2 linked regions of the Mytilus edulis genome follow. The protein of the gene in region 1 binds, or shares a complex with, the protein of each later gene. Links are inferred from orthologs where the notes say so. Each region holds a gene or a part of one and is shown in the gene's direction. Other genes may lie near its edges.

Evidence for each region. Proteins that work in one complex are often made in the same cells at the same time.
Region 2: ral GTPase-activating protein subunit alpha-1-like (region 1) and ral GTPase-activating protein subunit beta-like share a complex: the UniProt entries of both Homo sapiens proteins name them as parts of the heterodimeric RalGAP1 complex. The link is inferred for Mytilus edulis from reciprocal best matches to the Homo sapiens genes RALGAPA1 and RALGAPB.

Annotation. Positions count from the first base shown.
Region 1 is NC_092346.1:61,483,444-61,487,203, reverse strand, and holds the start of ral GTPase-activating protein subunit alpha-1-like, read left to right. Parts: upstream 1-926; 5' UTR 927-1,012; coding exon 1,013-1,139; intron 1,140-3,760. UniProt on the Homo sapiens protein: Catalytic subunit of the heterodimeric RalGAP1 complex which acts as a GTPase activator for the Ras-like small GTPases RALA and RALB.
Region 2 is NC_092346.1:6,423,582-6,427,341, forward strand, and holds the start of ral GTPase-activating protein subunit beta-like, read left to right. Parts: upstream 1-939; 5' UTR 940-1,054; intron 1,055-3,760. Other genes in the region: tRNA pseudouridine synthase Pus10-like, read right to left, coding at 909-929. UniProt on the Homo sapiens protein: Non-catalytic subunit of the heterodimeric RalGAP1 and RalGAP2 complexes which act as GTPase activators for the Ras-like small GTPases RALA and RALB.

The DNA of each region.
Region 1 (3,760 bases):
AATTGTTTATTTAAGACTTTTTTAATCTGTAATATAAATTAAAACAGACATAGAAAATCAAATTGTACGAGTTCATTATCTTTTTATATTTATGTTTACAACAGGTTTTATAAACGTCGGCAGCCGGGCCTACGAAAGGTCATCTCGATGGTTAACTAAGATGACGTCTAGACTAAAATAAACACAAGATGCTGATAAAAATCTCGAGAATATGCATCGTTAAATAATTGTTTATTTTAGACTTTCTTAATTAGTGTAAGTCGAATATGAGAATTTGAGTGAAATCGGTGAACATAAATGATCATGAATTTGACAGCTAGTGCCCATTTAATCATAAGTTCAGCAACGAAACTGAATGATGCTCTTTTCGAGTTACAATTTCATTTCAAATATATTGTCTTCTCGGACAAGAACATCTATATAAAGTGTCTTACAATGATTTGAATAATTGGTCCATGAGTTTCGAATGAAAAGAATTTTTTTTAAAGTTCATTGAAAGGGGGGCATTTTTTCCTATCAATGTATTTTAAGCATTTTCATATTTTTGTTAACTGTTATTTAGTAAAAAAATGTGTGCTTTAAGTTGTTAGTGACTTGTCACTAATTTGTTTTTATCTGTTTTTTGGTAAAATTGACCGATTGTTTTTTATTGTTATCTGTTATATACTGGTCCCAGCTGTTTTTGTGAGATAAAAAATACATTGTTAACTTTTTTTTATATAAATTCGCTATTTCTCATTTTAGACAGATTAAATTTTTGTTTTGAGTTTTGAGCAAAATGAAAAATTATCAACCAGTAAAAGTATCACCTCTAATAATCATAATAATGTTAGCTAATTTCGGTCATTTTGGCTCAATGGAAATAATGATAAAATTGGTAATTAGAGAAACCCGTTTCCGGAAACGGAATAAAGATTCGCGTCTGCGCATCGTCCGATCGCCATTTTCAGAGGATTGCAGACGAAATACTGTTTTCCTACAAAAAATGTAGCATTTTGATGCTATAAGATTAATGTCTTCGGCTTTGGCTATGTTTAGAACCAAAACAACTCATGGGGATATTAAAAAATCAGCACAGAAAGTTTCTGACCACAAGAAAGACAGTATTACCAGGCTGAAACACCTTCGGCTTGTGATAGGTGCGGAAATAAATATAAACCCTTGAATCCGTGATGGTTATCCGCCTTCTCCTTTTCAAAATTCTTTATCAAATGTGATGGATATTATTTTAATTGTATAACTATGGTTATATTTGTTTAATTGTTACACTAAAGTCTTCTAATGTTGGAACTATTGACGTATTGTAATTTGTAGGCAAATCATCTCCTCACTCTGGTATCGGGACCGTTTGCCCTTATAACATGTTCGCCCTAAGTACATTCACCCTGAGTTCGTTCGCCCTGAGTTTGTTCGCCCTAATAACATGTCCTAGGTACGTTCGCCCTGAGTTCGTTCGCCCATAGGCATCGAGTCCGTTAACTCTCCAAAATTTTTAATATTCAGGACATTGAAGTTGAATAAACTTATTCAGATATTTCTATGGTATACATTCTTGAAATTTATGGAAACAAGGAAACATTTAAAAGTTTATGGCTTGTTCAGGATCATTTTAAATTGTTCAATGACAAAATAATTCGGATCACTGATTATTGTGATACTTGTCTTTTGATGGATCATTAATAAAAATCAAATGTTTTGTTTTGTTAAAAATATGTACGAACTGTAAATCATGAAAGAGGTTTACAAGTTCATTTATTATTATACTTTGAGACTAGTATACATTCATGATTGACTGAATACAATTATTTTGTTAACAAATATCATAATCAATAAAGAGAAATACATTGTATTGCAGTATTCTACTTTGTAAACCGAAGGGAAAATGATTGATTGCAGCAATATAAATATTCTGTCAATTTTTCAACAAACTTTAACAAATTTTGTTCAAATACTTAAAATTATCATATGTGAATGGACAACAATTAGAAGAAAAAAAAATCAGGGTGAATGGACCCTGGGCGAACAGGTATCAGGGCAAATGTGAATTAGGGCAAATGGACCCAGATTCCCTCAGCCTGATCAACAATGGTGTAACCCAGTTACCCACAAATGTCTGTACACACTGAAATAGTTACCAATACTTTCATTTCAATGTATATACATTATTTATGTATGCATAAATGATCATTCATACTCTAGAACAAACTGCACTAATAAGGACATACAATGCATTGACTATTTATCCCTGTACTGTCACATTTAAGTCTCTTAACAAAAAGTCTTCTTTCTCTCTTTCCATTGAGCTACTAATATCCACACCATATTTTGGCCATCTCTGTCAATCTCTTTAATATGAGGATGAAGTCCCCAATTACAGTAGAAATATCAACAATATGAGGCAGGCATTACCTATGAATGGGGATGAAGTCTGTATGAATTATTTTAAAGTAACGTTACATATCCGATTTTGGTTCTGTTGTTAGTAATTTAGTTGTGATGTTATTAAAGTTATGACGTCATATTCAATGTAAACAAAGAAACGCTTTCATCGGGTTACGTTTTTTCATATCAAACAATTATTAAAAATGAATTGGTATTGAGTTCCAATCCTATATTATACTAGACTGATAAATATATATTTTATTCAAAGTCTCATGCAAACAAGACCAGAAAAAAAGTAGAATTCTGCGCCAAAAAAGTCTGAAAAAAAAGTTAACAATTTTGAGTTCATTAGTGGAATGAAAAATTCAGGAACTTTTCCCGATTTATTTTCAACCGTAATTTGGGACTCAATACTTTAATCTTACTAATTAGCGGGTCTGATATCGATTCTGTATCCAGCTGATTCTTTAGTGAGAATCCTGTATCCTGCTTCTCGTTGCCTTAAAAGCGTATGTCATTTCCTGTGTCCTGTTGGACTCTTTTCTTGTTTTCATGCTTAATAATTTTTTTCATGTGCATGCTTAAAAATATTAGCCATTCCCATGTCACACTTATACCCTAATGAGATCAACTAATGAACTCGATAGTGTTAATTTTTTATTTTTAAACTTTAATTTTCCCGCATTTGCACAGAAATCTCTTTCTTTCCTCAGGTTTCGAGTGTTCTGACACTTTGGGTAAAACAAGTATTTATAAGTCTAGTCAAACCTAGGATGGAGCACAATAATAAAAAAAATGTTGATTATTCTTTTATATGAAAAAAAACATTACCTGATGATAGTGTTTCTATGTTTACATTGAAAATGATGTCGTGTCAAAAATGATGTCACAACTAACATTTCTAAGAACAGGCTAGGACCAACATAGGAAAAATTACGGTATTTCCATTTTCTATTTGAACATTAAAATATGAGTGAATTAACAAAGATTGAAACAGACTTCGTCCCCTGTCAACATGTACAGTAATGCCTGTTTCATATAAAATTTTTGGTAATCCTGTATATATTTACTTTACTTATCATGCTATTTAAGTTTGGTTGGATGTGATAACTATGTTTAATGATTATGCCTAACTGGTTTGATTGACATCAAATTGTACAAATAAAGTTAAGTGAACTGAAGTTAACATCGATATATAAAACTTTGAATGTATTTTCCTGATCCGGTTATTAAACCCTTGCTACAGAACAAGTGGGAAGACAGTTTGACTTTGTGGCATGTAAAGTATTTAGTAACACTTGGTTATGGTGTAGGGAATTTGCCACTCTCTCTCTGCATGTTTAACATGGTTAAGATCCATTCGCTGTAACATTTATAT
Region 2 (3,760 bases), about 55 Mb from region 1:
TTATGTTCTTGTTGGTTAAGTTATAGTAAACCGGTCCTCCATACATGTGTACTACTACTACACATGGGCGAACTTACTGGACAACTGCACTTCCAAGAAAAACACAGGTGACTCATTTGTCTGATTTATTTTCAAATCAATTCTGATGTATCTTTACGGAAATAAGATAATATACATGTACGTAACATTGAGTTTTCAGTGAATAGATTTAAATAAAATTTGATGCAATCTGAATCTAGTCCAAATAATTATGACGTCTTGAAAGGCTATTATAATTTTTTTCTTTGACACCTTACTTCGACGTCATTATAATAGCCTTTCAAGACGTCATAATTATTTGGACTAATCTGAATTATGAAGAAAATTCCAGTATTTTTAAGTAGTGTAATGATTTTAAATTCTGGAATTCCTGAAAATTTTGGCAATGATGAAAAATATTTCCATGGAATTTTTTTTTACAACTGATGTCTTCCATAGGGGGGGGGGGGGGGGGGGTATTTCTGGAATAGCCCATTCTGTCTCCACAAGCTACAATTCGTGTAAACAAAAAACCTGGTAAAAACAGCTTTTGAGAAACATACCAAACTTAATTGCGAGTTCAAATGTCGATCATTGAAAGGCCAACATACATTAAAACCTAAATACTTAAGTATATTTTATCAATTAAAACTAGGGCGAATAAGATCTTGGGACGGGCCAATCTTGGGCGAATATATAATAGGGGCGAAATAACCCGATACCGTCTTCCCAATATAATCACACAACGTGTTTAACATATTGCAAGAATGAAAGGAGAAGAAATTATGTTAATAAACATAAATTGACCTTAGAAATAACACTTTTGGAGATATTTATCAAATGAAATTGCGCAAACAACATATAAAAGCTAATTTAAAAGTTACACGAACTTGAATTATGGGCGCAGCCATCTTGTTCTTTAGCGATTCTGTAACCGGAAGTTTTGAAATTACCTCCCTTCTGTTTTGGACTGACCAAACCCTACCAGAAGAGACTTACCAGATATGCATTTACCATAAAATCAAACAGAAATACGGTAATTTTGTAAAAGAATTTGACACATATATATACACTTCACATATTGCAGAAAATACACCATGATGAAAATAGAAACTGAATGTTTTTGGATGTACAAAATAATGAAAATTGTTGCAGCCGGACATCAGACTGAGTGAGTGAGTCTGAGGCAGAAATTTAGTGTTTATATTGCTGCAACATTTAAGAAAAATTATTATATTCCAATGTCATTGCACCTAAAAATCGTAAAACTTTGATTCTTTCAAACTGATCTTATAGGTGAGGCCTGAGGGTCGTTATGAGGGCAACTTGATGTCAAGTGTCATTAACAGATTAATGACGAATAACAGTAAAATTTTTGCCGAATGATAATAACGGTAGATTTTGGTTTATGACGATACTTTTAGACAATAGAAAAAAATTGGGACTTATCTTCCCCCAAAATGCTGTTTACAATGAATAATTTCAGACCTTTGACGAATAAAAAAAGGGAATTTTGACGAAATCTCAGAAAACTTTAAACCAATATGGCGCAAATAGCAGCCAGAAACGATTGTTTTATGCCTGACATTAAAGGGCATTTCTACCCTTACAGTTGTCAGAGTATATAAAATGATATCAGATATTATTATTTTTCCCAATCATAAATGTTGTAAATACATGTAATGAAATGATTGATTGTTATTCGCTGTATGTCCAAAGGCACATAGTTCTTGCATATTCAAGACAAAAATTTGAAATCTAGAGGCTTATTTCAAAGGACAAGGAATGTAATAGTGATGACTGATGTTCTGTCTTTGGTATATTCATTTTAAATCATTAGTAGAAATAGAATACTTTCAAGGAATGTCCTCAAGATCCTTTTTATGACATCATTCTAGATAGAGGAGGTTGCATGTATCCCTGTACTTTTAAGTTTATAAAGCCTCATTATGCACAATTAGCTGTTCCATTGGTAATTAATTGCAATTTCCGATTATCAATTATGAGAATTTAATTTGTCAAATAACTCGGCAATACAGCATTATTTTTTTTCAACTGCTCTCCCAACATGGGGAAGAAGTTATGCTGCCCTAAAAGGCACATATGATTTTCACTAAAACCTATGTTTTTTAATGGTAAAGCAAACAAACTTGAAAGTGGTCCATTTACTGTAATGCCATTTTTCATATTTAACACATTGTAAAAGACAAGAGTGCCAATATTTTTTCCATGTCTGTACACATGTTTGTATCTCTGAACTCTCCTTCTTTTATCAGATTAAAATTTTGGTATTTTACAGTCACATCAACTTGAAACTAACAAGACCATGTTCATTATGAAGTGATTTTTATTATGATACAGTACATTGTATTTAGCTCTTTCTGAATATATATAGAAAGGTGAAATTACAAGCCAAACATAGTGTCTCATTGAATTCAGGGCTCACACTACTTCAGAATTATAGGGAGAAGTGACTTCTCTTTTTGAAACTGATAGGGAGAAGTGGTGAGATTTGAAAGAGAAGTGCTTATTTGTGTGGTGCGCTACAATGTTTGGATTTTACAATAGTATAAAGGGCCATATGTCAATAATGTTCTTTTTATATTGTTCAATTCATATCTGAGTAAAAAAATTACAATTAAAGTAACATTTGAAATTAAAAGTTGTTGAATTTTTACTAAGGTTCTTGTGAGAAACTACCAAATAAATATCTAGCACTAAAAAAATATTTTTTTATTTTAAAAAATGTAAAGAAAATTATAATATATATCAATTACAATTTAATTGAAAATTATCGTGTGTATGAAATTCAGTGTTTCTGATAAAAAAATATAAAAGTTATTAAGCTGGGCCATAATATATTGATATTAGTGTAATAGTCTTAGAGGTAAGCAACTTTAATCAATAGTTTGAAACAATCCATAAAAAATATAGGAAATTATATACACCAATCAATTAGATGTAACCAAAAGTCTCTTAATGCGTGTGGAATGTGTAATTTTTCCCTTTGGGATCAATATTCTTCTGTCAGCTGTTCCATCCGTGCGTCCGTAGTAATTATTGTAAAAGTACAGATTTCGGTCATAGCTGGTCTGATTCATATCCATAGTTTAGAAATCGGTCAATGGCGGACGAATGCAAGAAAATTTACAAAAATAAACGATGTTTGACAAGTTATTTGGAAAGGAACATGACGTTTTTAATGCAATAAATGGATTAAACATTTACTGGAGGCAGCTTTTATCACGTTTAAATGAAGTAACAAACTTATTTTGCTGCCGAAATTTTGGTTGATGTACGTTTTCGAGTAACAAGCACCGGAACTTGCGGAAATGCACGAAGTGATAAAAAGTTGTATTTTTATCAAATAACCTGCTCCACACTGCGAAGACAATGCTTCAACCTCTTTTCTAAAGATAATGAACTGTTTATGTCTGAATTTCTTAAATTATCAATAAAAAATTGATGTTTCATCAACTTGGTAAAAATTGAAATGTCCGATGACGGAAGCGACTGAAAGCGAGTATCGTCAAGAACAGGGCTACTTGTTTTCGCTTTTGGGGGTTGGGGAAAGCGAAGTGACGGTCGGGAAGGCGACTACTTCGCCCAAGTCGCCTGGTAGCGTGAGCCCTGATTGATAAATAGTTTTTTTTCTAGTTTTTTTTATCTTCATATAAAAGTTGTAAATTTCCTGTTCTCTCTGTACATTTACCATGTTTACATGTATTTGTATTTTCTTTTG